Linked DNA regions of Anolis sagrei. The protein of the gene in region 2 interacts with the protein of the main gene of each other region in a pairwise test. Links are inferred from orthologs where the notes say so. Each region holds a gene or a part of one and is shown on either strand. Other genes may lie near its edges.

Evidence for each region.
Region 1: the proteins of DMRTB1 (region 2) and QKI interact in a two-hybrid assay, tested with the Homo sapiens proteins (2 studies listed by BioGRID). The link is inferred for Anolis sagrei from reciprocal best matches to the Homo sapiens genes DMRTB1 and QKI.
Region 3: the proteins of DMRTB1 (region 2) and IL16 interact in a two-hybrid assay, tested with the Homo sapiens proteins (2 studies listed by BioGRID). The two-hybrid records come from large-scale screens. The link is inferred for Anolis sagrei from reciprocal best matches to the Homo sapiens genes DMRTB1 and IL16.
Region 4: the proteins of DMRTB1 (region 2) and SLAIN1 interact in a two-hybrid assay, tested with the Homo sapiens proteins (2 studies listed by BioGRID). The link is inferred for Anolis sagrei from reciprocal best matches to the Homo sapiens genes DMRTB1 and SLAIN1.

Annotation. Positions count from the first base shown.
Region 1 is NC_090021.1:66,442,405-66,449,837, reverse strand, and holds the start of QKI (KH domain-containing RNA-binding protein QKI), read left to right. Parts: upstream 1-4,374; 5' UTR 4,375-5,058; coding exon 5,059-5,200; intron 5,201-7,422; exon of another isoform or gene 7,423-7,433. UniProt on the Homo sapiens protein: RNA reader protein, which recognizes and binds specific RNAs, thereby regulating RNA metabolic processes, such as pre-mRNA splicing, circular RNA (circRNA) formation, mRNA export, mRNA stability and/or translation.
Region 2 is NC_090024.1:172,926,104-172,934,196, forward strand, and holds the start of DMRTB1 (doublesex- and mab-3-related transcription factor B1), read right to left. Parts: upstream 3,004-8,093; coding exon 2,589-3,003; intron 844-2,588; coding exon 608-843; intron 1-607.
Region 3 is NC_090029.1:33,443,049-33,450,260, reverse strand, and holds the start of IL16 (pro-interleukin-16), read left to right. Parts: upstream 1-4,129; 5' UTR 4,130-4,720; exon of another isoform or gene 4,721-4,764; intron 4,765-7,212. UniProt on the Homo sapiens protein: Interleukin-16 stimulates a migratory response in CD4+ lymphocytes, monocytes, and eosinophils. Primes CD4+ T-cells for IL-2 and IL-15 responsiveness. Also induces T-lymphocyte expression of interleukin 2 receptor. Ligand for CD4.
Region 4 is NC_090023.1:127,617,431-127,625,402, forward strand, and holds the start of SLAIN1 (SLAIN motif-containing protein 1), read right to left. Parts: upstream 3,065-7,972; 5' UTR 2,842-3,064; coding exon 2,393-2,841; intron 1-2,392. UniProt on the Homo sapiens protein: Microtubule plus-end tracking protein that might be involved in the regulation of cytoplasmic microtubule dynamics, microtubule organization and microtubule elongation.

The DNA.
Region 1 (7,433 bases), on a different chromosome or scaffold from region 2:
GGGCCAGCCAAGTGCAATCCGCTTCGCATGTTTCTGCAGCGACCAAGCATCCCCCTCTGACAAAACAAAACAAAAAAAAAAGGCAAAGAAAGGCGGAACAGATTTTCTGTTTTTCCTAGCTCAGATATAGTGCAAACAAGAGCATATTTGAAAGTGAACCCCCGGCACTGATGCTGTCGCTGGGCTTTTAAGCGCCGGAAAGAAAGACAAAGGAAGAATTCAAGGGGGAGGGAGAGAGAGAGAGAGAAGGATGCAGGCAGAGATGAAGAAAGGAGGGATGGGGGCTAAAACGAGCAAAAGCAGCACAACAGTCCTAGGATCCTGACAGTTTGAGGATCAGCTCATTGTGATAATGTGTGTGTATAAAGGGAAAGGTTTCCCCTTGACATTAAGTCTAGTCGAGTTCGACTATGGGGATGGTGCTCATCTCCATTTCTAAGCCAAAGAGCTGGCGTTATCCATAGACATCTCCAAGGTCATGTGGCCGGCATGACTACATGGAGCGCCATTACCTATCCGCCAAAGCAGTACTTACTGATCTACTCAAATTTGCATGTTTTCGAACTGCTAGGTTGGTAGAAGCTGGAGCTAACAGCAGGAGCTCATCCCACTCCCAGGATTCTAGCCACCAACCTTTCGGACAGCAAATTTAGCAGTTTAACCCACTGCGCCACTGGAGGTTCCATATTATATATATATATCACCAGATAGAAGATGATGTGGCAAGAGAGGGGCGACCTGCTGGGATCCCGGGGCTGGATCTACACCACCATATAATGCAGTTTCATTGAACTAGATTATACTGGAGTATAGATTCATACAATACCATTGAATGGATTTAATCTGCTTTCTGAATCTACATTATATGGCAGTGTAGATCCAGCCCTGAGGCTGCACTGCAGGATTAACACACTTTGACCCCACTTTATTTGCCATGGCTCAATATGGGGGCAGAAGAATTGTAGTTTTCTGAGGCACAAGCACTCTAGCAGAGAAGGCTAAAACTGCAACTCCCATGACTCTTTCAAAGTTCAAGGGGCATTGAATCGCATTAATTCTACAGCAAAGATACATGCTAAGCACCCTAAAACAGGCATGGCCAAACTTGGGCCCTCCTTCCAGGAGTTTTGAACCCCCGCCATTCCTAATAGTTGCAAGCCCTTCCCTTTTCCTCCTCAGCCGCTTAAGCAGCTCAGGAGGGAAAGGAAAGGGCCTGAGGCTGTTATGAATGGTGGAAGTTCAAGACCCAAACACCTGGAGGGCCCAAGTTTGCCTATGCCTGCCGTAAAGGCACCAGATAGAAGAGGATGTGGCCTTGGGAGTTAAGCAAAATCAACCCTGGCTCATACTTGGATGGAAGGCCACCAGCAAATACTATGTTTGAGAGAGCAAGAGACTGGGAAAGCAACCCCGGGTCCTTCATGCTTGACACCCCTCTGAAGTATGTGGTCTCCCTAAGTGGTCCTCAGATGTTTTGGCCTTCAACTCCCAGAAATCCTAACAGCTGGTAAACTGGCTGGGATTTCTTGACGTTGTAAGCCAAAACATCTGAGGACCTACAGGTTGAGAACCACTGCCCTAAGTGGATGAGACTTGAAGGCGCGCACACAGGGTGCATCTACACTGCAGAGTGAGTACAATCTGACACCATGTATTGTGGAAGGCTTTCATGGCCAGAATCACTGTGAGTTGTTGTGAGTTTTCTGGGCTGTATGGCCATGTTCCAGAAGCATTATTTCCTGATGTTTTTCCCACATTTATGGCAGGTATCCTCAGAGGTTATGACGGATGTTGGGAACTTCGCAAGTGGGGTTTATATATCTGTGGAATGTCCAGGGTGGTCCATGCTCTTGTTACATCCCAGATAGATTACTGCAATGCACTCTATGTGGGGTTGCCTTTGAAGACTGTTCGGAAACTTCAATTAGTCCAGCAGGAGGCAGCCAGATTGCTCACTGGAGCATCATACAGGGAGCATACCACCCCCCTGTTGTGTCAGCTCCACTGGCTGCCGATCCAGTTCCGAGCACAATTCAAAGTGCTGGTTTTGACCTACAAAACCCTATACAGTTCCGGCCCAGCGTATCTGTCCGAACGCATCTCCCTCTATGTCCCACCTCGGAGTTTGAGATCCTCTGGGGAGGCCCTGTTCTCAGCTCCGCCTGTCACAAGTGAGATTGGCGGGGACGAGGAGCAGGGTCTTCTCAGTGGTGGCCCCTCACTTATGGAATTCACTCCCCGAGGAAATTAGATCAGCGACATCCCTCCTTTCCTTTAGAAAGAAATTAAAAACATGGATGTGGGACCAGGCGTTTGGGCACTCTGGCAGATAAATAAAGGACTGCGACGGCGGATAGGAACAGACAATGTGGAACGAAGTATGGAATCTGAGTTGGTTGAGATTGGCTATTGACTGTGACATATATTGTTGTTTTAATTGTTTAACCGTTTAACTGCTGTTTTTATACGTTTATTGTATTATTGTGTAGGCATCAAATTGTGCCTGTTTGTAAGCCGCCCTGAGTCCCCCGAAATAAATAAATAAATATTTAAGGACAACCTGTGAGGATACCTGCCATAGATGCAGGCGAAAGGTCAGGAGAGAATGCTTCTGGAACATGGCCACATAGCCAGAAAAATACACAATAACCCAACTTGATACCACTTTAAACTGCCGGGGTTCACTGCTATGGAATCGTGGGAGTTGTAGTTCGGTGAGGCGCCGACACTGTTTGGCGGGGCCAAGGCCTTGCCAAAACTACAACCCTCCACGATCCCATGGCGGTAAAGTGGTGTCAAAGTGCACTCATTCCACAGTGCAGAATCAGGCTTCGTGTGAACGAAGGCATAAATCTGGCTCCTGGTTTCTACATCTGCCTGCCCTGATGCGCTTGTGTCGTAGGAGGGAACCACAAGGAGTTGAGGAATCCCCTTTACTCCCGAGGAAGTTCCGTTCGATGTATTCGGCGGGGTTGACTCCAGAATGGCAGCCGAAGCCTCCTCCTCGCCTTGCCAGCCGCGGCTTTCCTCGCCCTCCCTTCCTCCTCAGAGCGTTAAGCAAACGGAAGGGAAGAGAGAGCGGGCCTGGGTCGAGTGGTGAGGCGAGGAAGGGAGCCCAAGAAGGGGAAACGCGTGGCGGGCGGCGGTACTTGTCGGGGCTTCCCCTCAGAAGCGGAAGGGAAGACCGAAGGCGAGGCGAGAGCACCTTCCTTCCTTCCAGGAACAGAACCGACTGACTCCTCCGCCAGGCAAACCCCCCTCCCCCCCTCTTGAACGTGCCTTTCTCCCTACCTACTGCGCAGGCGCTCGTGCGCGAGCTTCGGCCCCGCCCCTCCCATTCCTTTCCTCCGACACCTCCAAGAGGAGGAAGGGCGCGAGACCGTTGGAGGCGCGCGGGCGGGCAGGCAAGCAGGCAGGCGCGCGCCCCCCGTCTAAAAAAAAAAAGCCAAGCCAACAGACTTTATTGAGCGCATGCGCTTTAATAGTAAAAAAACCAAAAACGATCTACGATTAGGACTCTTTCCTTTTTCCTCCCTCCTCCCTTTTTTTTCAGGAGCTTGGCAACACGTGACGCGGTCCCGCCTTAAACGCAAGATTGGTTGAAGTTTTTTTGTGTGTATGTGTGTTAACGGAGGAGTTTCTAAATAAATAAATAAAAATGGGGAAGGGAGGGAGGCACGCGCGAGGACGTTGCGGGGGGGGGGAGATAGAGGAACGTGGTGGTGGGGGGGAAATGTTCATTCCTTCGCGCGCCCTCGCGCAGGCGCGTATCAACAGGCGCCGTCTCGCGCGTCGTAGCGAGTAGTACTATATCCGAGGTATAGCGGCACGAGCCCTTTTTTTTTCTTTTTTCAAACCAACGTTCTTTTCGGATATGTGTGCGCGCGCCCGCCCATCCGGCTCCTTAACACCCACCACAAGCGTAGATAGATATATATGTGAAAAAAGGAAATTTCTGTGTGCTGTCCTGGTGCGCGTGCGCGGAGAAGAACCACCGCCGCCGTCGCCACCACCACCTTCTTGTCGTGGTTCTCCTCACAAGTGAAGCGCTTTCCCGTTCTCGGCGGCGCCAGAGAGAGCCCCCAAGTCTTTTTCCTTCCCCCCCCCCCGTAGGGGCGGGGCGGAGTCGAGGGCTCCGAGTCCGCCAAGGGCCGCCGCCAAGGGCTGATTAACGGCCGCCCCGCCCCTGCTCCTCGGCGGCGCTCCCCCCCCTCCTCCTCCTCCTTTTCCTCCTCCCCTCGCCGCCAGCAGCGCAGCCTGAACTGAAGCGAACTCCACAGCGAACTGAAGGAGGAGGAGGAGGAACAAGACGAAGAAGGAGGCGGCGGCGGCAGTGGCAGTGGTCGGAAAGGCTGAGGCTCGCCAGCGACCAGCAAACGGCACCAGCGGAGGGGAGGAGGAGGGAGGGAGGGGAAGAGGGGAAGAGGGGAGGAGGGAGGGGAGGGAGGGAAGGCAGGCAGGCAGGCAGGCGGCGGCACAAGCAGAACCACACCAGCAGCAACAGCGGCGGAAGAAGGAGCAGCAGCGGCAGCAGCAGCGCCGGTGGCCGGGAGCAGCCTTACAAACAGCCTTACAAACAGCGGCGGGGACTCTTCGCGAAGACAAGCCCGCCTCCGCCGCCGAGGAGGAGGAAGAGGAGGAGCGGGCGCCTCGGCTGCTGCGAGTGAGGCGGGCAAGCGGCACGACACCGAGGAGGAAAGGCTTCCAAGGCGGGAGCGGCGGCCGGGGATCCTTATCCAAGCGGAGGAGGAGGCGGAGGCGGCGGCAGCAGGCTTGGGTGGCGGTCGCCCAGCCCCCTCCGCGGTGTCGCCGTTTGTGTCGGAGTCGCCTCCTTGTTCTGGTTCTTCCTCGCCGGGAGCAGCAGCAGGAGCAGCCGCCGCCGCCGCCGTGCTTTCCCTGGCCGCGGGTCCCTCCTCCTCCTCCTCCTCCCCTTCCCTCCTTCCCCCCTCCTCCTCCTCCCGCCTCCTTTTTCTTCCAGGGGGGAAGAGGCCTCTCCCGCCTGGCGAGTGCGAGTGTGGCTTGCGGGCGCCCGGCTCGCTCTCCGGCCGCGCTGGGAATATGGTGGGGGAAATGGAAACCAAGGAGAAGCCCAAGCCCAGCCCCGATTACCTGATGCAGCTCATGAACGACAAGAAGCTCATGAGCAGCCTCCCCAACTTCTGCGGGATATTCAACCACCTCGAGAGGCTGCTGGACGAAGGTAAAAACAAACAACAACCGCCACAATAATAATCATAATAATCATAATACACGAATTTAAACCACGCTCTTTTCTTTATTTTGGATCAAAACAAAACTTAGGCCTTGAGGATACACGGTGAAAAAAAATGTGTCTCCTCTTTTTGGCCCCTTCAATGGCGTCCTCTTTGCTCTCTTTCTTTTTTGGCCTTGCCTCCTTCCCCGTAAACAAAGAGACGAAGCGGGAAGTCTCTCTCTCTCTCGGCGAGAAGTTTTGGCCTTTGAGGGAGGGAGTGAAGGCGAGGCTTTCTTCGGCCCTTCGGCGCGGTTCTCTTGTTTTAAAGACTTAAGGTAGCCCTTTTTATAAAAAGGCCGAGGGGAGAGATAGTTTGGGGAGAGTTTTGAGACTCCACATAGGACGCAACTAAGTAGTAGTAGTAGTAGTAGGCCGAGTGGCGTGATTTACAGCAGTGTTGGTTAAGCGAGTGAGTTTTGCAACGTCCAGAAAGGGATCTCGGGGTGTCCTTTGTTTGTTTGGTTTCAGATTGGCTTGGAAGGGAGAAAAAGGGGGTGGCAGGAAGTGGAAAGGGCTCGGCTCTCGTCCCTACCGGGCAGTTTGGACTAAAAAGTGGTTGAAGTTTTTGAGAGTAAACAGACCCAACTTCTCCATTCGGTTTTTACACTGAAGCCTCTTCACTCGAAAGTTCTCGATTTCTGGTGCCAAAAAGCTAACGCAGAAAGGTTGCTGAATCCTCACTGCTCATCCCAAGCCAACTATCCGATTCCCCACCGCCTGCCTCCCACCCTGTGGAGTTAGTTGCAAGAGGCCACTTTTGTGGAGTACTACTAACAAGCTTCAGGAGTTTTTTATGTTTAAATAGGTTGGACATGGAAGCTCCAGACTTCATGGTGATTATGTTCTCTTGGACCAGGTTGAGTTTTAAGTCTTCAATCCAAATCGTTTTTTGGGAATTCAGACCTCAGTTTGAGGGCGTTGTGGCTGAACTTATCATGTAGACGTGGGAGGTTGTGCACATTGAGTTTTGGTCTTACCATGTAGATGTGGGTGGTTGTGTACATTCAGTTTTGATCCTAGTCTGAGTATTTAGATTTTTTTTTTTGGAAGAGAGTAATTCTATACAGAATTCTTCATAGACTTGACTGATCCCATGACATATTTCCGCTGAAAACATATTTACCAAATAGTTGTGAGGTGCCCCTTGACTGATTTTTTTTCCAGACCACATTCTGTTTGGATAACACTGACTAGTTGGGATCTCTTTGAAAGAACTCTTTTGAATACTTTCTGAATTACAAAATAAGCAATACAACATAATTTTTATCGATTAAACACAGGCATGAACAATGAATTTTTGAAGTTCCTGAACAATTGGTTTGATTTGGGAAAGAAGACTGACCAACTTTGTCAAGATCAAAAGAGTGGTGTGTTTATTGTACCAAAGGGCTATTTTAAATGGAATGTGTGAGGTCATTGTTCCTTTAAAATGCCCCTGAAGCTCTGAAAGTCTTTGAATGAACAGGCCTTGTATTATTTTCAAAAGTCCAAAACAAAGATTGGAAGTTAATCTAGCAAAACAGTTATATCTGGTTTTGTTCCATCCTTATTTTTTTTCTTCCACTCTTCTTTTCTTGGTAGCCTGAAGGGAAAGTTCAACTGCCCCTTTAAATCTTTTTTGCTTTTCCTGTTTATTTTGGCTCCTGGGTGGAAGAACTGCATATGCTGAAAACTTTCTGGAATGTTGAAAAAATGTTCCATGCAAATTCAGTGGATGAGGTAAATGTTTTAATATTTGAACACTAAGGGGCGCCAGTTCTTTCTTTTTGGAAAACAGTTGTAACAGTGTAGGGATTGCATTGTGAGCCTTTAAGCCAAAACCAAGAAATATGCCAAAACTTTTAAAGAGCTAGGACTTAATGAGTTTAAGGGCTAAAGTTATATATTCACAAATATTTGTGATTATAGGAATTGGTGTAATTCTCCATTCCCAAATCATGGGCAGGATTAGTCATTTTCTATTACAAAGAACTGACAATCTATGAAGTGACATATTGTTTTTGTTTTTTTGTTTTTTACTAGTAGTAGTTTGGGCAGAAGAAAGATCATTTTTTGGCCAATTGGCGTTGGAGGTCTTACTTAAAAGTTGTTTTTAATTTTTTAAAAACATCCTGGAAATTTTATGTTTTTGTTTAGTATGTTGTTGTTCATTCGTTCAGTTGTCTCCGACTCTTCGTGA
Region 2 (8,093 bases):
TTAAATAAGATAATCAGGCGAGTAAGACCAACAGGATTGATGAAGTGGAACGGAAAACTAGAACTATGAGTTAGCGAACGCTGACCATGTAGGAGGAGGAATTGGGTTTGTATTAGTTTTATTGATTTTATGGTTATAATGCATGAATTGTTGTCAACTGTGAATTGATGTAATTTTGTGTGTGATTGTTTTGTGATGTAGGCATCAAATTGTGCCTTTGCTTTTGTAAGCCGCCCTAAGTCCCCTTCGGGGTGAAAAGGGCGGGGTAAAAGAACCCCGAAATAAATAAATAAATGCCTGGTGTAGACTCATATAATGCAGACTGAACTGCACTGAACTGGATTATATGAGTCTACACTATAATATAATCCAGTTCAATCTGCACAAAACTTGTGCAAAAAAAAGAGAGAAAGATTTGTCTTAAAGATGTGTCACAGGTTCCCCCTTCTTTTTGTACTCTAAGTCACTAATGTACTTTAACCCTTTTAAGCTATTCAAACTATTAATGTTATTGTCACTATAATAACTAAAATAGCAAGGTCATGTATCCCTGCAACCAAGGGAAAGCTGTTTAAACAAGTGCTAATGTTTAAAAAACATGACTTACTGGTACAGGAGTGAAGTTCCCTGGCCCGTGACTGCTAGGAAAGTGTCTGTAACCTGCTTGCAGGGGTAGGACAGGGCCATGCGTTGGGCCTCTGTAGCCAGGTTGGTTGATGGCAAATCCCAGAGGAAATGGATGATAAGGATACACCCCAGAGTATCCAGGGTACACTTTGGGAGGCTCTCTTTCCAGAAACTCTGGACACATTGCTGCACATTCCTGAGGCACAGTAGGATGGTCTAGAATAAAAACAAAATAGAATGTCTAGGTTGGATACACAGTGCTCATCAACTATTTTCTGCAAGGATGCATAGAAGATTACTATATAGTTTAGTTCCTCCAAAGTGTTGTGTTCCTAGAATACAGTTGGCATTCCACATGTGAGGGCTTAACTTTTGTGGATTTGATCAATATGTTTTCTGCAGGAATTTCTGAGGTGTCCAGTGCAACTCTACTTGATTAACATTTTCTCAGAGAATCTCTAAATCCAGTCAAAACTGACATAAAATTATCTTGGAGGGCTAGAGAGTCCTTGGAAGAGTATTTCTCTAAGCATTGCGGTGCCTCCAATGCAATTCCATGTTGAACTTAATCATACAATCTTGCTGGAGGACCAAGAGATTCTGTTCCCTTCTACACTGTCATATAATTCAGATTAGAAAAGCAGATAATCCACATTATCTGCTTTAAACTGGATTATATGTGTCTATACTCCCATATAATCAAATTCAAAGAAGATAATCTGGATTTATATGACATTATAGAAGAAGCCCAGATTTCAAAATTATATCCTTATGATTTAAGAAAAAAAAATACTACTCCTCAGCTAACTAAATTTAATATGTTTTAAGTTTTTATTAATATTTTTTTTAAAATCCTTACATCCAACAGCATTTGAAATCATTAAATTAATTATAACACTTGTGAAGAAATACAGATCGCTGTAGACTCTCACACCCCATCCACACTGCCATTATAATGCAAATTGAACTACATTATATGGTCATATAATCTAGTTTGATGCAGTCAAACTGCATTATATGATAATATACTGACCATGTAATGCAGTTCAATCTGCATTATGATGGCAGTGCAGAAAATCCCTCAGGTTCTGTCTAAACTGCCAAATAAAATCCACATTATCTGCTTTGAACTGGATTATATGGCAGTGTGGACTCATATAATGCACTTCAAAGCAGATAATGTGGATGATCTCCTTTGATAATTTGGATTATATGGCAGTGTAGATCCAGCCTGAGTCCACTTTCTCTGCTGTATATTTTATTGTACTGCTCAGACACAATGTAATTCTGATATTTTCCCCCCAAACACATCTACATTCTCCACTTTCAATGCTAGCTAGCTAGCTCTCTCTCTCTCTCTCTCTCTCTATCTATCTATCTCACTAATGATTAAATTCAAGTTCTAGGCTAAAGCCTGACTGCTGTCATTGCTTTCTTAATACTTCATAAGTACTGTTATAATAAGTTCTGCAGTGGCTTCCTATTTCATGTGCAGTGGCTTCCCATTTTATGTGCAATAGCTGCAAAATGCTCCTGCTGTGCATGGTGCTTCCTCTAAAATACAACATTATTCCGAGTCTAGATATGTTTTCTCACCAGTGTTATAGATCTCTTGTTAAATCTTGTTGCACAGAGCCAGCTGCAACCCATTTCACTTGTAATACAAAGCTTGCTGAAAAAATAGGACTTTGCAACAATGAAACATGGACAAATAGCCTCCAGAACCGAAGTTCTGCAGCTACAAAGTGCTCAAGCAGGATATGGAAGCTACCAACAAATGAATGAATAGGAATAACTTTTTTCAGGGAAAGAGCAATCCCCAACAGCAGAAAATGCCAGTTACCAACTTTCAGGACAACTGTATTCAAGTCCATGTAGGAAAGGTAAGCATTTGCAATGGAGAGAAACAATGCCAATGGATGTATTTATGGTTGCAGAAAAACTATAGATGGTGTACCTACCTAAATCTATGAAGGTTGGAGAGCTAGGTTTTGGTGGCATTTGGTCAGGCACCATCCTGGTGGGTTGGTCAGGTGCAGAGGTCACCTTAGCCTCTTCATGCCCAGCAACATGGGGCTCAGAGGTGTTTTTCCTGGAGCTCTTTTTACTTCCAGCTGCGGTCCCATCCATTTCATCATTGGGGCTGCAATGGACAGAGGGCAGTGCCTCCCTGGGCGGTGAATCTGGTCCTTGCCTCTTCAAGGCCTTCTGAGCCGCCATGATCTTCTGCCGTTCAGTGATCAGGGCACACTTCTCACAAGGGCAGTGCTTCCAGCGGCAGTAGCCGGCGTGACCTTTCACTGGCACCACAAAGCCATGGTTGCGACAGCGAGAGCATTTGGGGGCTCGGATCTGAGCTGCATCTGGAGACTCCATGAAGGCAGCTGACTATAATCATGCACCACTGCTGGAGTGAGGAAAACCCTGGGCAGAAATCTGCTCTTGCAGTTTGCAGAAAATGGTTACAATGTGGCAGTTAAAGCCTGGGGTTTAGAATAGACAAAGTTCTTCACACTGGAGAATGAAAGGAGAAAGAAAAGTGTGCCTGCTGACCATCCAAGTTCAGTAGTCCTTTCCAATAGGACTTGTATTTTGTAAAAAAAAATAAAAATTAAGAGTTCTCTATGTAGCAAGACTGTATTTTGAAAAGCATTGACACACTGTGTTCCCACTTCCAAGGCTTTGCAAGGTATTCCTGAACTTGAACATTTTGCTTTATTCCAGAAAGGTTGGTGTTTTGTGTTTTGGACTTCCTACAAAAGAACTCAAAAGAGGAAGAGCTTTGTAAAGAGGAAACTGCGGCCCTTTCTACACTGCCATACAATCCATATCAATACATATCAAAGCAGATAATACACATTATCTGCTTTGAATTGTATTATATGAGTCTACACTCATATAATATAATCCAGTTCAAAGCAGATAATCTGGATTTTATATGACAATATAGAAGGGGCCCGATCTAAGGAAATGAGTAACTCTGTGCTTCAACATGAATTTGAAGAAGGGAGGCATTATTGTAATTGTTTGTGGAGAGTATTCTTTGGGCACATCTATACTGCAGAATGAATGCAGTTTGACACCACTTTAGACCTCATCACAGTAGAGAATGAATCCACTTTAAACCTGGTTGCTAGCTCCTGCAGAATTCTGGGGTTTGTAGTTTAGGGAGGAGCCTTTAACAGTCTCACTAGTGTGATGAACTGCCATCCATGGCCAAAAGCAATGGCATCTTGAGATCTGTAGTTTGGTGATGTGCCAATAGTCTGTGGCAGGGAAAGATAAAGATTTTGTAAAACTACAGCTCCCATGCTTTTATTGCATTGAGCCATGGCAGTTAAACTGGTGGCAAACTGCTTTCATTCTATAGTGCAGACTGCAGGCAGGTAGCATAGTAGATGCCTATGCAGGTCCTCTCAAAATGTTTAGTTTGGATTAGACACATATGGTTAATTTAAACTTTGCCTACAGTATTTGCATAAATTCTAAATTGTAGGCAGTGATAAACTTAAAACATTTAACAAATGCTGAACTATATTAGGCTTCCTTATTACTTTCAGAATTTTTGATTCCTGGAATTTAATTTCAGAAAACATTATATGGATCTTGGTCTATTTCTCAGTATAAATTAGCACTTGTAACAATACAATTTCCATTATCACCTTCAGCATTTTAGGAGACAGAAGGTATGGGGTGATTTGTTGCAAAAGGCATCAATCATCCTTCATCTCTAGGGCAGGCTGAGACAGATTCCCCAGTACTTTTATTATTCTTAGATCAATTTCTAATATTACATATTTGCAAAAATAAGAAATGTTTGCATATCTTGATACAAGTGTATATCTTGTGTTCATAAAGTTAATAATATGAAAACAAATTTGAACGAATAATGAAGTATGTTGTTTACAGTAGATCAGGCAAATATGATATTTGAGTCAGTTTTCTGTTTTTGATAGAGTCTGGGTCTTGCTGAGTTCACGGTTTGACAATTTTGGCAACATGATTTAACATAATTCAATCATACATACTGAGGATTACCTGGGAAGGAAGCTCACAGGAGCACTGCAGCACACCCAAATACCTGGGAGTTACCCTGAACCATGTTCTGACCTACAAGAAGCACTGCTTGAACATCAAGCAACAAAAGCTAAGTGGCACGACCTGGAGATCACAACCAGATACAGGGAAGACATCTGCCCTTGGCTTTGCTACTCTGCTGCTGAGTACGCTTGCTCAGAGTGGAACATAACTCACCACGCTAAAACAGTGGATGTGGCTCTTAATGAGACATGCTGCATTATCACAGGATGTCTACACCCTACACCACTTGAGAAATTATACTGTTTAGACAGTATTGCACCACCTGACATCCGTCGGGAAGTAGCAGCCAATAATGAAAGGACCAAGGCAGTGACATCTCCGGCCTATCCTCTGTTTGGATATAAGTCAGCATGCCAATGCCTCAAATCAAGAAACAGTTTTCTAAGATCTACAGAGATACTTGCAGGAACACCTCAGCAAGCAAGAGTCCAAAAGTGGCAAGCTAAAACTCAGAACCTCAATCCATGGCTGATACCGAACGAGAGACTTCCTCCTGGGCACACAGAAGACTGGGCGACTTGGAAGGCGCTGAACAGACTGTGCCCTGGCACCACGAGATGCAGAGCCAACCTTAAGAATTGGGGCCACAAAGTGTAGTCCACGACATGTGAGTGTGAAGACGAGCAAACCACAGACCACCTACTACAATGTGGTCTGGGTTCTGCCACATGCAAAATGAAGGACCTTTTTATAGCAACACCAAGGCACTCCAAATGGCCAGCTACTGGTCAAAGGACATTTAATATAATACAAAGTTTTTAAACTTTGTGCTTTTAAAATATATTACAACTGTACCCTCGGTTCTCTTCTGATACGATAAATAAATAAACCATACATATAATATTAATTCAACTAATTTGTTTAATTACAAGAAAGAAATCCCCAAGTAGCTTGTAGTGGTTCTTTATAAAGCGCCACTGAATAGGCAAGGAATGTATTCAGTGACTTACAAAGCATGCCAGATGTTAATCTCTAAAATATATTCCTACAGTGTTTCAATGTTTTGCAAAATTAAAGAAAACTGAGAATGTGCCCTTTGTTCTTTAATTATTTCTATTTTCCCTTTTGTTCAGATCTCACAGGTGATTTTATCTCATTAGAGAAGATTCTTCCAAACAAGGAATAATGTTCCCTTATTTAAAATGCCTTCTTTTTCAAGTGATTAAAAAATCCTCTAGATTATTAATATTCCAGGAAAAAAATTATTGGAAAGAGAATAGTTTTAAAATCAAAATATGGTAACATACTGCATTAAAAACAACTAATAAAGCATGCCTTTACATAGATACAATATCACTGAATTTACAAAAATATTATAGTGTGCACAATAGTTTGTGAGCAGTCCAATGCTATGCATTGTATTCTGGGTTGTAACAACATATTATGTGAGTAGAAGATAGACTAACAGCCAGTGCAGTGTATGGTTTAAGAGTTGGACAACTGGAAACCAGGGTTTGAGGCCCCATCCATGTTAGAGCTACACTGCCATATAATCCAGTTTATAGCAGATAATCTGGATTTTATATGGTAGAGTAGATGGGGCCCCACACTGCTATATAACATTCAGATTGTCTGCTTTGAACTGGATTATATGGCAGTGTAGATCCAGCCTGAATCTTCACTTGGCCATGAAAACTCACCCTGGTGATCCACAATCTCTCAGCCCCCAAAATTCCATGATTGGGTCACTTTAGGGATGCTATAAATTAGAAACGACGTGAAGGCACAAGACAAGTTACAAGGACACACTTCCATTTTTGGTAGATCTTGTGCCCATGGAATTCCACTCGTTTGACAGCTTAAAAAATTTAAATGGTTTCTTATCAGCATTTAAATTTAACAAGTGTCAAGGAAATTTCTCACCGTGGTCACACTATAGATATAGACTCCCTTGGATTTTTCCAGTTACATCACTTTTCAGGCATACTTAGAATCTATCATCAGTCTACAGTCCACAAAGTATGAACTGGTTATTAACATTCTTGGAAAGAGTGGGGAGTGTTAATGAATAACAAAACAATTATGATAAAATAGAAGGAAGATTTTTACAAAATCTAGCATTAACACATACAATTCTTAAAAAATCTTCACATTATAGTGAAATTATAACAGTATAGTAAGCAAACTGGCATGATGCTACATTAACTTTCTTTAATCTAAAAGTCCAATATAGACATGAAACTTGCTGCATATTCTCTGTGGCATTCAGTGCTATCCAGAGATGTAGATTACCAATACATTAAATCTATCAGTTTGCAGGCCATGGCAAAGGCAACTAAAGGTGCATCTGTAGTTTGACACCACGTTAACCGCCATGGCTCAATGTTGTGGAATCATGGGAGCTGTTGTTTTACAAGATCTTTAGCCTTCTCTGCCAAAGAATGCTGGCTTCACACCTAAACACACCTCCCACGATTCCATACCATTGAACGATAGCAATCAAGTGATGTGAAATTGCATTAATTCTACAGTGTAGATGCACCCGTGGCTATCTGCTAGAAGTCTATATTTTGTCAGTTAGGCAGATCCATGTCTAAAACCATGCATGTGTACACAAAAAGAGAGTTTGGTTCATTACAATTCTTGTACTCGTCTTGCACTGCTATGAAACATGGGTGGGGAGCAGGAACAAATAGTATCTTGAAAAGCTTTTAATTGCCCAAATATAATCGTTAAGCACTTATTTGCCACAAAGCATTAAATGTAAAGGAATTTTCATCATTTTGGCTGGCCTTGACAATCAAGAGATAAGGCAGATATTTATATAGCTTTAATGTACTAATGAGAGCTCCACAACACACACACTCTTTTCATTTTATCTTTTGTGTGTGTAAACAATATTATGTTTCTATATTTAGTTTTTATTATAAGGTATAACAATAAAAACTATTATTAAAATTTTATTTATTTATTTATTTCATGCACTTTTACCCCGCCCTTCTCCCCCCAAGAGGGGACACAGGGCGGCCTCACATAAGCACCAAATGATGCTATAGAATCATAGGATCCTAGAGTTGGAAGAGACCTCATGGGCCATCCAGTCCAACCCCCTGTCAAGAAGCAGGAATATTGCATTCAAAGCACCCCTGACAGGTGACCATCCAGCCTCTGTTAAAAAGCTTCCAAAGAAGGAGCCTCCACCACACTCCGGGGCAGAGTTCCACTGCTGAACGGCTCTCAGTCAGGAAGTTCTTCCTCATGTTCAGATGGAATCTCCTTACTTGTAGTTTGAAGCAATTGTTCCACGTCCTAGTCTCCAGGGAAGCAGAAAACAAGCTTGCTCCCTCCTCCATGTGACTTCCTCTCACATATTTATACTTGGCTATCATATCTCCTCTCAGCCTTCTCTTCTTCAGGCTAAACAT
Region 3 (7,212 bases), on a different chromosome or scaffold from region 2:
TTTAGAATAAAACTAAAGAGATCAGGGAAAATACACAGACCAGTTAGATATGATCTCACTAACATTCCTAGCGAATATACAGTGGAAGTGAAGAACAGATTTGAAGGGCTAGATTTAGTAAACAGAGTCCCAGAAGAACTATGGACAGAAGTCCGCGACATTGTTCAGGAGGCGGCAACAAAGTATGTCCCAAAGAAAAAGAAAACCAAGAAGGCAAAATGGTTGTCTGCTGAGACACTGGAAGTAGCCCAAGAAAGGAGGAAAGCAAAAGGAAACAGGGATAAGGGGAGATATGCCCAGTTAAATGCGCAATTCCAGAGGTTAGCCAGAAGAGACAAGGAACTATTTTTAAACAAGCAATGCATGGAAGTGGAAGAAGACAACAGAATAGGAAGGACAAGAGACCTCTTCCAGAAAATTAGAAACATTGGAGGTAAATTTCAGGCAAAAATTGGTATGATAAGAAACAAAGATGGCAGGGACCTAACAGAAGCTGAAGAGATCAAGAGAAGGTGGCGAGATTATACAGAAGATCTGTATAGGAAGGATAACAATATCGAGGATAGCTTTGACGGTGTGGAGAATGAATTAGAACCAGACATCCTGAGGAGTGAGGTTGAATGGGCCTTAAGAAGCATTGCTAACAACAAGGCAGCAGGAGACGACGGGATCCCAGCTGAACTGTTTAAAAACTTAAAAGATGATGCTGTCAAGGTGATGCATGCCATATGCCAGCAAATATGGAAAACACAAGAATGGCCATCAGACTGGAAAAAATCAACTTACATCCCCATACCAAAAAAGGGAAATGCGAAAGACTGCTCCAACTTCCGTACAGTGGCCCTTATTTCTCATGCCAGTAAGGTAATGCTCAAGATCCTGCAAGGAAGACTCCAGCAATACATGGAGCGAGAGTTGCCAGATGTTCAAGCTGGGTTTAGAAAAGGCAGAGGAACGAGAGACCAGATTGCCAATATCCGCTGGATAATGGAGAAAGGCAGGGAGTTTCAGAAAAACATCTACTTCTGCTTCATTGACTATTCTAAAGCCTTTGACTGTGTGGATCATAATAAATTGTGGCAAGTTCTTGGTGGGATGGGCATACCAAGCCACCTTGTCTCTCTCCTGAGGAATCTGTACAAGGACCAAGTCGCAACAGTAAGGACTGACCACGGAACAACAGACTGGTTCAAGATTGGGAAAGGCGTACGGCAAGGCTGCATACTCTCACCCAACCTTTTTAACTTGTATGCAGAACACATCATGCGATGTGCGGGGCTTGATGAATGCAAAGCTGGGGTGAAAATTGCTGGAAGAAACATTAACAACCTCAGATATGCAGATGACACCACTCTGATGGCCGAAAGCGAGGAGGAGCTGAGGAGCCTTCTAATCAAGGTGAAAGAAGAAAGCGCAAAAGCCGGGTTGCAGCTGAACGTCAAAAAAACCAAGATTATGGCAACAAGAATGATTGACAACTGGAAAATAGAGGGAGAAAATGTGGAGGCCGTGACAGACTTTGTATTTCTAGGCGCAAAGATTACTGCAGATGCAGACTGTGGCCAGGAAATCAGAAGACGCTTCCTTCTTGGGAGGAGAGCAATGTCCAGTCTCGATAAAATAGTAAAGAGTAGAGACATCAGACTGGCAACAAAGATCCGCCTAGTCCAAGCCATGGTATTCCCTGTAGTAACCTACGGATGTGAGAGCTGGACCATAGGGAAGGCTGAGCGAAGGAAGATCGATGCTTTTGAGCTGTGGTGCTGGAGGAAAGTGCTGAGAGTGCCTTGGACTGCGAGAAGATCCAACCAGTCCATCCTCCAGGAAATAAAGCCCGGCTGCTCACTGGAAGGAAGGATACTAGAGACAAAGTTGAAGTACTTTGGCCACATCATGAGGAGACAGCAAAGCCTAGAGAAGACAATTATGCTGGGGAAAGTGGAAGGCAAAAGGAAGAGGGGCCGACCTAGGGCAAGATGGATGGATGGCATCCTTGAAGTGACTGGACTGACCTTGAAGGAGCTGGGGGTGGTGACGGCCGACAGGGAGCTCTGGCGTGGGCTGGTCCACGAGGTCACGAAGAGTCGGAGACGACTGAACGAATGAACAACAACAACAACAAATGTACCAAGTTTGTATGAAACTTTGACTTTTATTTCTTGTGCTGGTCTAGGACCAAAATAAATAATTTGATTTGATTTGAGGTGGCCAATTCAACAGTCACACTTGCCTCCAACAGACAAGAGTTCTTTCTCCCACCCTGGACATTCCACAGATATATAAACCTCACTTACTTAGTTCCCAATAGAACTCACCACCTCTGAGGGTGTCTGCCATAGATGTGGGCAAAATATCAGGAGATAATTATTCTGGAACATGGCCATACAGCCCGGAAAACTCACAGCAACCCAGTGACTCCAGCCATGAAATCCTTTGACAACATATTATTATGGTTTTTTTTTTTAATTTTACTAGCTTTCCCCTGCCATGTGTTGCTGTGGCCCAGCCTGTGTCTATGTGCTTTTTTTGTGTATATATGTGTATATATTTGTGTATATGTGTATATACGTGTGTTTGCATATGCATTGTAATGTATTTTTATTTTTGGGCTTTTAAAGTTGCGTCCACTGTGTTTTTAGGAGTGATGGTCACTCATTGGCCTGAGAGGTGTCTTGTGTCCAAATTTGGTGTCAATTCGTCCAGTGGTTTTTGAGTTATGTTAATCCCACAAATGAACATTACATTTTTATTTATATAGAGTAGCCATCCCCTGCCACGCATTGCTGTGGCCCAGTCTGTGTATATGTGTTTTGTGTGTCTATGTATGTGTATATGTGGTTTTGCGCATGCGTTGTAATGGGTTTGGGGGGGGGGGTTAAGTCTCTTCCACTGTGTTTTCAGTATTTTTATGAATAACTAGCCATCCCTTGTCACACATTGCTGTGGCCCGGTTTGTGTATATATTTGTTTTGTGTATATATATATGCATATATGTGTGTATATATATATTTGTGTATATGTGTATATATGTGTGTTTGTGTATATATGTGGTTTTGCACATGCATTGTAATGGGTTTTTGGGGTTTCTATGTCTCTTCTGCTGTGTTTTTCTATGTTTTTATGAGTGATGGTCACTCGTTGGCCTGATAGGTGTATTGTGTCCAAATTTGTTGTCAATTTGTCCAGTGGTTTTTGAGTTATGTTAATCCCACAAACCAACGTTACATTTTTATTTATATAGAGTAGCCATCCCCTGCCATGCATTGCTGTGGCCCAGTCTGTGTATGTGTTTTGTGTGTCTATGTATGTGAATATATGTGGTTTTGTGCATGCATTTTAATGGGTTTTTTCTTTTGGCTTTTAAGTCTCTTCCACTGTGTTTTCAGTGTTTTTATGAATCACTATCCATCCCCTGTCACACACTGCTGTGGCCTGGTTTGTGTATATATTTGTTTTGTGTATATATATATGCATATATATGTGTGTGTGTATGTGTGTTTGTGTATATATGTGGTTTTGTGCATGCGTTGTAATGGTTTTTTTCTTTTGGCTTTTAAGTCTCTTCCACTGTGTTTTCAGTGTTTTTATGAATCACTATCCATCCCCTGTCACACACTGCTGTGGCCTGGTTTGTGTATATATTTGTTTTGTGTACATATATATATATATGCATATATGTGTGTGTGTATATGTGTGTTTGTGTATATATGTGGTTTTGCACATGCATTGTAATGAGGTTTTTTTTGGCTTTTTATGTCTCTTCTGCTGTGTTTTTCAGTGTTTTTATGAGTGATGGTCACTCGTTGGCCTGAGAGATGTATTGTGTCCAAATTTGTTGTCAATTCATCCAGTAGTTTTTGAGTTATGTCAATCCCACAAACGAACATTACATTTTTATTTATATAGATTTGTATCCTGCTTTTATCTTCTGTGATCCCCTGTGATTGTTCACTTTACAGATTTTCAGGCACAAAAGAACGTCTTCCTGATTGCTTTTAACACAACTTCCTATGAAAGGCATTTTCATCAAGGATTAAACAACCCCAGTGTGTTAAGGCTCCCCTCCCCTCTTTCTCTCTCCCGGCTTTCCCCGCTTTTGGAAAAAAGAGCCATAAATGAATCATTTCATTGCAACCTTGGGCAAATGGGTCTGAGGTGCTGGATTGGAAGTGAACCATGCAATTACATAAACATCGGAGCGGCCAGTCCGCCAGTGAGTGGAAAGACATGGATGTTAGAGGATTATCCAAACAGTAGAACACTTTTTCCATGTGTGTGTAAGAAAAAAGCCTGGCACACTTGGGCTGACTCCCCTCCCTGCCGCCAACACTTTGGAAGGCGAGTCAGGAGAAGCTCAAAGGGGAGATTCAGACTTTCAATTTGTGTTTGTGATGAAGGAGAAGCAATTCAGCAGTGGGGGCTTTGGTAAACTCACATCTCCTTTGCTCCTTGGCCTCTCCAGCAAGAGGAATGGCAGGCAGAGATGCTGCGCCGCCTGAACCATCCGGCCTAGAAAAACCAAACTAAGCAAAGAAAGAGAAGATTGTCTTGAGATGTTGCACTGAACTACGTGAAACTTTGGGCGGGCTGGACGTCTTTTTGCCTTTCAATACAAAACTTCAAAAACTTCCAAAAACCTGTGGAAATGTCGTAGTGGGATGTCGTAGCGGGATGCATAGCTGCCTGTAGCATCAAGCATTTGTTTTCCTTCATAACCAAGGCATAGCTATGAAACACAAAGCTATTTTGGCCTTCTCAAAGGTGGTAAGTACCTCTGCTGAATGTGACCTTGAAATGGCAAATGTCCAGTACAGTTTGTGCTGCTAACTGATATTGGTGCTCTGTCTGTTTGTTTTGAAAAATCCAGGTTTTTAAAGGTGAGAGCGAGAAGAAGGGAAAAATCTGCTACCACCATCTGTTATCATCTGTTTTGTGTGTACTTTGCTTTATTGTAATTATTTGGGCTTGGCCTCATGTTAGCTGCCCCGAGTCCCTTCGGGGAGATGGTGGCGGGGTATAAATAATATCTAATTGTTGTTATTGCCTTATGTTTTTGATTTGCTTTGAGTTGTATTTGTCATGCTGTTGTTGTGTTGAGGCCTTGGCCTTTGTAAGCCACATCGAGTCCTTCGGGAGATGCTAGCGGGGTACAAATAAAGTTTAATAATAATAATTAATAATAATAATAATACAATATTATTATTATATTACAATATAATAATAATTATTTATTTACATTATTTATTTATTTACTTTATTTGTATACCGCCCCTCTCAGCCTTCCGGCGACTTGAGGTAGTTTACAAGGCAAAATTCAATGCCACAAAAACATAGTACAATTTAAAAACATTAACAGCAATAAAATCAAAGAAAAAACAATAAGAACATGTCAGTAAATCATCAATATATTATTATTATTATTATTATTATTATTATTATTTTACTGACACAAAAACACAGTATGTCAAAGCAAATGAGATCTATATTCTGAATATTATTATTATTATTGACACAAAAGCACAGTATGTCACAGCATGCGAGATCTATATGCTGGATTTCGTATCACAAAATCACAAGTTGAACACTTCCCAAGGGTCTAGGAGTATTATTATTATTATTATTATTATTATTATTATTTGAAACACAACAAGATGAGTCCACAGCAGACAAGATCACTCTGCTGGCTGTTGTATTGGATCACACGTTGGACACTTCCCAAGTGTTTAGGACTCTGTGATGTATCGGCGAATAATGCGTGCAGGTCCAAGTAAGGTGGCCTTTTGCAGCTGGCAGATGGTAATTTTGTCATTGCCGATTGTGTTTAAGTGCAGATCAAGGTCTTTAGGCACTGCACCCAGTGTGCCGATCACCACTGCGACCACCTTGACTGGCTTGTGCCAGAGTCTTTGCAGTTCGATCTTTAAATCCTCATATGGTGTCAGCTTTTCCAGTTGTTTCTCTTCAATCCTGCTGTCGCCTGGCATAGCAAAATTAACAATCCATACTTAGTTTTTTAACACAATCGTGAGGTCAGAAGAATTCTGCTCCAAAACTCTGTCTGTCTGAATTCAGAAGTTCCAGAGTAGCTTGATGCATTATTATTATTATTATTATTATTATTATTATTATTATATCATGTAAGCCAGTGTTTCTCAACCTGAAGGTGGGGACCCCGGGGGGGGGGGGGGGTCGCGAGAGGGTGTCCGAGGGGTCGCCAAAGACCATCAGAAAACACAGTATTTTCTCTTGGTCATCTGGGTTACGTGTGGAAAGTTAGGACCAATTCTATTGTTGGTGGGGTTCAGAATGCTCTTTGATTGTAGGTGAACTATAAATCCCAGCAACTACAACTCCCAAATGCCAAGGTCTATTTCCCCCAAACTCCACTAGTGTTTACATTTAGGCATATTGAGTATTTGTGCTAAATTTGGTCCTGATCCATCATTGTTTGAGTCCACAGGCGTAGATGAACTACAACTCCCAAACTGAAGATCCATGCCCACCAAACCCTGCTAGTGTTTTCTGATGGCCATGGGAGTCCTGTGTGCCAAGATTGGTTCAGTTCCATCATTGGTGGAGATCAGAATGCTCTTTGATTGTAGGTGAACTGTAAATCCCAGCAAGTACAACTCTCAAATGATAAAACCAGTCCCTCCTCCCAACCCCATTAGTATTCAAATTTGAGCATATTGGGTATTTGTGCCAAGTTTGGTCCAGTGAATGAAAATACATCCTGCATATTTACATGACGATTCATAACAGCAGCAAAATTACAGTTGTGAAGTAGCAACAAAAATAATATTATGGTTGGGGGTCACCACAACATGAGGAACTGTATCAAGGGGTCGCGGCATTAGGAAGGTTGAGAACCACTGATGTAAGCGGAGGGAGATAACAACAAAACCAAAACAAAGAGGTTTGATTGAGGCCTTTAAGACAGGACCAGACAGATCAGGGGTCCTCAAACTAAGGCCCGGGGGCCAGATGTGGCCCTCCAAGGTCATTTACCCGGCCCTCGCTCAGGGTCAACCTAAGTCTGAAACGACCTGAAAGCACACAACAACAATCCTATCTCATCATCCAAAAGCAGACCTACACTTCCCACTGAAATACTAATAAGTTTATATTTGTTAAACTAGTTCTTCATTTTAATTATTGTATTGTTTTTAAGTGTTTTTTGCACTACAAATAAGATATATGCAGTGTGCATAG
Region 4 (7,972 bases), on a different chromosome or scaffold from region 2:
ATAGAAGACTGTGCTTGTCCATGTGCAAACAACAATAATCCAGGTTGTGAGTTTTCCGGGCAGTATGGCCATGTTCAGGGAGCATTCTCTCCTGACATTTTGCCCATATATACGGCAGGCATCCTCAGATGTTGTGAGGTCTGTTGGAAACTAGGCAAGTGGGGTTTATATATCTGTGGAATGTCCAGAGTGGGAGAGAAAACTCTTGTCTGCTTGAGGCAAGTGTGGATGCTGCAATTGGCCACCTTGATTAGCATTGAATGGCCTTGCAGCTTCAAAGAGACAAGAGTTCTTTCTCCCACCCTGGACACTATTCCACAGTTATATCAGCCCCACTTCCCTAGTTTCCAACATGCCCCACAACCTCTGAGGATGCCTGCCATAGATGTGAGCAAAACATCAGGAGAGAATGCTTCTGGAACATAGCTATACAGCCTGGAAAACTCACAGCAACTTGTGATTCCAGCCATGAAAGCCTTTGTCAACACAAAAACAATATGAATTAGTATTATTTTTTTAAAAGAGGCATACTAGGAACACTTAAAAAAAAGAAGAAGAAGAAGCCTTAGATAAATATCAAACATGGCTTCCTCATCTCAAAAAAACAACCAAATGAAATCAGCACTCTTCTTTATTAGGATGCGTTGATTTTTTTTTTACAGGCAGCTCCCAATTTATAACTATATCACAGTCAGAAACAAGGTGTGTTGTGTCAATTTTAAGAATAGGTCTCATTGGCAGAAGACAGGAGGAATGACTGGCAAGAGCGGGGGAGGCAAAAACAAAGCATAATGGAGAACCAAACCACTTCCTCTGGGCTGTACTTCAATCACGACAGCTGCTTTTTTAAAGGGACAAGAGGGTTGGAGAGATGGCAATTGTCAGTCAATATGCCATGGTGCAGATAGGCAGCTGGGTATTGCGACCAGGCCTGGGCAAATTTGCCCTTCCTCCGGGTGCTTTGGACTTCCACAACAGCCTGAGGCCCCTTCCTTTCCCCCCTCAGCCGCTTAAGTAGAAAAGGAGAAGAAAAGGAAAGGGTCTGTGGCTGTTAGGAAGGGTGGGAGTTGAAGTCCAAAACACCTGGAGGGCCGAGGTTTGCCCACGCTTGGCCCAGAATCTCCCCTTTCCCTTCTCTCCTGCCCAATGCATCCCTCCGAGGGGAGCTATTAGCCTTAAAAAGGGCCCGGATTCAATCGCTTTTCCTGAGGCAAATCAAGACTCCGCCCGCATTGAGAGGAACGACAGGCTGAAGGCTGAAGGGGGAGAAAACGCGGGAACACTTCGGAAAGCGGAGGAGAGAGGAGGAGGAGGAGGGTAGCGAGGAAGGCAGGGAGAGCGAGAGAGGCATGCAATCCAAGCGGGGCCCCCTTTTGTTGAGTGTCTGAGGCCTGGGTCCCCTTTGTGCTCCTTGGCTCTGGAAAAGAAAGGCGCCCCCAGGAAGGCCCTTGGCTTCCCACGCAGCGGAAGAAGGCACGGCCTCGCTGCGGCGCCATCCATCACCCCCGCCACCGCCAAGGCCGCCTCCTCCTCCTCCTCCTCCTCCTCCTCCTCCTCCAGAGCGCAACAAGCAGCCCAAGGGTCGCTGGCCACAGTCCTGAAATCCCGCCACGAGGAGGAAGGGAAGGAAGGAAGGGAGCGCACTGCGAGAGAGAGAGAGAGGGGGGGGGGAGGGGGGAAGGAAGGAAAAGGAAGAGAGGGAAAGGAGAGAAGGGAGAGAAGGAAAGGAAGGGAGGGAGGGAAGCGAAGAAAGGGAGGGAGGAAGGGAAGTGAAGAAAGGAAAGGAAGACAGGGAGGAAGGAAGAATACGGAAGGAAGGGAAAGGAAGGAAAGGGGGAGGGAAGGGAAGGAAAGGGAAGGAAGGATACGGAAGGGAGGGAAAGGAAGGAAGGGAGGGAAATGGAGGGAGGGAGGAAGAGAAGCGGAGGAAGGGAAGGAAGTGAGGGAGGGAAGGAAGGAAAGGGGGGAAGGAAAGGGAAGGGAGGGAAGGAAGAAAAGGAAAGCAGGAAGGGAAAGGAAGGGAGGAAGGAAGTGAGGAAGAGGGAGGAAGGGAGGCGAAGAGAGGAAAGGAGGGAAGGGAGGAAGGAAGGGAACGAAAGGAAGGGAAGGAAGGGAAGCGAAGAAAGGAAAGGGAGGAAGAGAACAGAAGGAAGAGAGGGAGGGAAGCCTCTGCTTCCACAGCCCACCCCCTCAGAATCTGCACTATCCCCCCGCCCCCACCACCACCCCTGAAGGGCGCCTCCCAGACCACAGGGCTTGGCTGTGCGGGGCTGGCCTCTCCCCCCCCCCCCCAGACCTCGAGGGCTCCAAAGGGCAGCGAAGGGGTCTCCTGCCAATCAGGGAGGGAGGGAGGGAGGGGTGCCTCCACCCGGGTCCCTTCCTCCTCACTCACCAGGTCTCGGCGTCCCTCTCCTGGCGCTCCGCCCGCAGGTCCAGCACCTCCACCTCGTCCAGGAAGGTGGCGGCGGGGAGGGGGCCCTCCGGGGACGCCCTTCCTCCCCCTCCCCCTCCTCCTTCTCCGGGCGAGGGCTTGAAGTAGACGAAGGGCTCCCCGCTGGGGCTGGGGCTGAGTGCCGGGGGCGAAGCGGCGTTGGCGCTGGCGGGGAGCGGGTGCTGCTGCTGCTGCTGCTGCTGGGCCTGGAGGGAGGAGAGGAGCAGCTGCTGGAGCGGGGATCCGGCGGCGGGGCCCGGGGGCGAGGCGGAGGCGCGGCTGCGGAGCTGCTCGTTCTGCTTCTCCAGCTTGCGCACCAGCTCCTGCAGCTTCTTCACCTCCAGCTCGGCGCTCACCGCCCCGCCGGGCTTCACCTCGGCCGCCAGGGGCTGCAGCAGCGCGGCCTCCATCCCTCCCTGCCTCCTTCCCTCCGCTGCAGGAGGAACAGGCCTCCCCGCAAAAGGCCGCTCTCCGTCTTCCCGGCCGCGGATGGATTGGCAAAGGCAGGCAGGCAGGCAAGCAAAACAGGCAGGCAGGCAGGCACACAATGGGAACAAAGCCGGGCGGGGAGGCGCCGAGGGGCCGCGCGCGCAGGAGGAGACGGGAGGGGAGCGAGCGAGTGCGCGAGCGAGGGGCGGGGCCTGCCTGCCTATCTGCCCGCGCGGGGCAGGGAAGGGGCGTGGCCAGGGAGAGAACGCCACGCCCCCTCCCCCCTCCCTCCCTTGGAAGGACTTTCCCCCAGACTTTGAAAAGATCAGGAGAGATGCCAGGAAGGAAGGAAGGAAGGAAGGAGGGAGGGAGGGAGGGAAGGAAGGAAGGAAGGAAGGAAGGAAGGAAGGAAGGAAGGAAGGAAGGAAGGAAGGAAGGAAGGAAGGAAGGAAGGAAGGAAGGAAGGAAGGAAGGAAGGAAGGGATGCTGAGGAGGACTCATTGTGATGTCACGCGAGCAGGGGAAAGGATGGAGGAGGTGGCCATGGCTAGGAGGATGCGGAGCCTTTCCTGCAGGCCTGGAGTCGGGAGAAGGGGGAGGTATAAGGATTTCACCACCACCCCCCAAAAATATTTCAGGTTAAAAAAACTTATTTACTCATGAATTTTAACTGGTTAACAAATTCATGAGTAAAGCGGGGGTTTTTTTAACCTGAAACTTTTGGGAAAATGGCATTCATAACCTTTTTGGAAGGGAAAAATGATGTCATATCCTTTTGTCAAATGTGAATCTCCATGAACACCTCGAGACCACCTTTCGAAAACCACTAGTCAAGGAAAGGCTTGCCCTTGTTTAGAACTCAACCCTTTGAATAAGTGATGTTCACAAGTATTCATGTAATGGCACACAGGTAACTTGGCTGTTAAACTGATAAACCAAGCCTTTGAACTTCCAGGGACAAAGACATGCCACTGCACAAAAAAACATATACTTAGCCAGCAGAGTTTTGAAAATGTTTCATAACCTTTTTGGAAAGGATGTCATATCCTTTTGGCAAATGTGAATCTCCATGAACATCTGGCGACCACCATTTGGAAACCACTAGTCAAGGAAAGGCATGACCTTGTTTAGAATTCAACCCTTTGAATAAGTGATGTTCACAAGCATGTAATGGCACACAGGTAACTTGGCTGTTAATCTGGTGAACCATGTCTTTGAACTGCCAGACATGCCACTCCACAAAAAACCAATACTTAGCTAGCAGCGTTTGAAAATGTTTATTTGAATTTGAATTTGAAATTGCAGTTGCCCAAAACATATACTCCTCTTTGAAACCTCTTAGTTTAAAATATGTGCTCAGAGACAAAAAAAAAATCTTCTTTAAAAGACAACATACTTTGTTTACTCACAAACAGGAATTCAATCCATTCTACATGTATTGATTGGGGGACTAGGATATCAAGGAAAGACTGGGGGGAATTGGATCACCACTCTCACCCCAATACCCTTCTTCCTTCTGTTTTCCTAATATCTCCCTTCCTCAACTGGGAACTACATCATAGAGTTGGAAGAGACCTCTTGGGCCATCCGGTCCAACCCCTGCCAAGAAGAAAGAAAATTGCATTCAAAGCACCCCTTTCATGATATTGTGTTGGATGCTGTTTAAGGTTGGCTTTGGGACTTCAGGGCTGGTTGCTCAATGGTTAGCTCTCTGGTGATACAGTTGAGTACACATGCTGTTTACTGCCAAGTCGTGGACAACTGAAATGGACCTTCATTAAGCTTGACTCAAGCTGTGGCCACCAAAAATGCTCAGTCTCTTTTAGTTATAGACAAAGAGTTGGGGTCTGTATGGTATTCCAGGCAGAGGATGGACACTCATTCCCTACATGCACATTTCATTGCCCGAGCATGGGTAAATGCGTATTCTCAACACACACACACACAACTCAGCACATTCACATTCCTCAGCCAGTGGGTGCTTGTGGGTTGAGCAGGGAGCACCAGCCCACTCAGTCAATCCAGCAGTTATCTGAGCATTGCATAACCCAGACATGGGCCAGCTTCGGTCCTCCAGGTGTTTTGGACTTCAACTCCCACAATTCCTAACAGCCAGTAGGCTATTAGGAATTGTGGGGAAGTCCAAAACACCTGGAGGGCCCAAGTTTGCCCATACCTGCCATAACCTCACCTTAGCATCTTGCTCATCCATCACTATCAACAGCAGAAATCACATTTTCTTCCTCTCCTTGACTAAAGGAAGGGAAATGTGGAGGTGGTCCCACCAGTTTAGAAGCATCAGAGGAAAATAGAGCCACAGGTTGTCCATTCTTGTTTTGGGGACTAAAAGCCATTCCCAGTTTTGTTGTTCCCTTTGGCGCAGTGAGCAGTATCCAAGTGAACTCCTTAGCAGTACAGTTCAATGATGGTGTTTGAAACCCAAGTGAGAAAAGGCCCTTCCCGATGGGAAGATAAAGCAATGCTTGATTTAAATGAGACAGTGTATCCACTTACTCAGTGATAAGCCTCATAGAGATGAATGGAATTTCTGATCAGATCGGTACATACATTGGTAAAGTTTCACTACAAGTCGATTGCACTCTGTTGTTCTGTGCCTTCAAGTCGACCCCAACCTATGGTGACCTTATCATAGGGCTTCCTTGGCAAGAACTGTCAGAGGAGGTTTGGTGTTGCCTTTGTCTGAAAATATAGCCTGCGGCAAAAGGTATTCCTTGGTGACCCCACATCCAAGTATTAAGCGGGTCTGACCTTGCTTAGTTTCCAAGATCAGAGAAGATGCGGTGCCTTCGGGGTATGTCAGCACTCACTGTAATCCACAAGGCTTCAGATATTCATAGCTAACTTCTCTCTTTGTTTTCCATGGTCTTAATTTATTTGGAAAACTCATAGTTAAAACAGGTTTTTGCGGTATATTTCTAGTCTTGTGATAGTGATTTAATAGCAAGTTATACCTGTAAAAATAATTTTTCCACCAAATAATCCATCAGAAATGGAATGCTGGGAGTTTACTTTCTCACATTTTTAGGCTGGGCTACATCAGCCTTTCCAAGACTTAGACAAAATCTTATGTTAGTCCCACTCTGTTATGCCAGCTCCACTGGCTGCCAATCCAATTCTGAATACAATTCAAAGTGCTGGTTTTGACCTACAAAACCCTATACGGTTCCGGCCCAGTGTATTTGTCTGAACGGATCTCCCTCTACATCCCATCTCGAAATTTAAGATCGTCTGGGGAGGCCCTGCTCTCGACCCTGCCACTATCACAAGTGAGGTTGGCGGGGACGAGGAGCAGGGCCTTCTCAGTGGTGGCCCCTCACCTGTGGAACTCACTCCCCGGGGAGATTAGAACAGCGACTTCCCTTTTGGCGTTCAGAAAAAAATTGAAGACCTGGATATGGGACCAAGCTTTTGGATATTCTGGCAGCTAAGGAAAGATCGGACGATAAACAAGGGCGAACGGAATAGAATGGATAAACGGACTCTGAACACTGAGCATGAGATTGTTTTGCTATTTTACTATGTATTAATGTTTTTAACTTGTTAATCGTTTAAAATGCTTTTATGTATTGTTTGTTTATTGATTTAGGCATCGACTTGTGCCTTCGTTTGTAAGCCGCCCTGAGTCTGGAAACCAATTATTCTAAATGACTAAGAAATCATTTTTGGACTATTAGTTTTATTTGCTATGTTTATAGATGCTTATTGATTTATTGTATACTAGGCGTCCCCTGCCACGTGTTGCTGTGGCCCAGTCTGTGTATATGTGTTTTGTGTGTGTATATTTAAAAATTAAATAAATCATTCCTGCTGGCTGGAAAGGATGGGAATTGTAGTCCCAGCACCTCTGAAGGTTTGAGGAAGGCTGGATTAGACGGTATTCAGAGCCTTCAAAGCTTAAATATCTCCATTTGGTGCTACACAAAGAAGTAGGCGGCACCTCTGCTACTGCGCTACAGAATGCCATCCTGGAAAGAACACAATAAACCATATAATTAGAGCCCCAAAACTGCTAGTTTGGGGATTGTGATTATGCAAATTTAACACTGCAAAAAATGCAAAGCGTCAATATAGGCTGATTTTTTAAATAATTGGTAATCTGAATGAAAGCTGCACATGTGCTTTCAATGCCCAATCATTTTGGAGAAAGGGTTCCTCTTAATTGGTATATATTAGGTGTAACAATTCCACCATGAAAGCAAGGAAACACTGGGACCATCACAGACTCTCGGGCTCTAAAGCTTCATTCCCATGATGAGCAAAAGTCAAAACACGGGAAATAAATAAATAAATAAATAAAATTAGAATGAGGATGATGATCATGTTTATTTATAAAATGCTTTTTATTTAAAAACACGGACAATCCATTAAATATGATTTCTATAGAGATCATCTGCAAGGATGTATATTTCCAAAAAGCAAATGCTGTCCTGCTGCTCAAAGGATATTTGCTCAGCATTGTCCTACAGAGTCTGCTTCTTCCAGACTCAGAGGAATATCCTAAGATCCTATTGCAATTTACTTCCTTCATATTTTGCTCATAACCTCACTTGTTTATATCTCCCCTTGAATGCCAGCTTTTATGCAGCAGAATTGCTGAATGTTGGTAAGGAGCCATCTTGTTTTTCTTTCTCTAGATGAATGTCAGTGGTTGCTCACAACTGGATGACTGTGAATAAGGTACTTAGAGCAGTGTGGCTTACTATGTGTTTGCTCCATCATTGCTCTTTTTCTCTTAAATTTCCAGGAGGATATGGCTATCTGGATTCAAGAAGGGATTCATGTATCTTTCATAGAAGGGATGGCTTCCAAATGTCTTGTAGGAGGCACTCACAAACCTCTGCTTTTGGAACAAGTAATGTGTACCTTTCCCTTCAAATCTCTAATGAAAAAAACACATCAAATGTGCACCTCCTATATTTTATTAGACTAGAACTGCTAGTATCCCTCACAATAGGCTATACTAGCTGTGGTGAGGCTTAGTTCCAATCAAGAACCTCAGGAAGGGAATACAGACAGTCCCCAAGATAGGGTCTGTAGGTTTGTTCTTAAGTTGTATTTGTATGTATGTCAGACCCAGAAGGGTCATGGTGA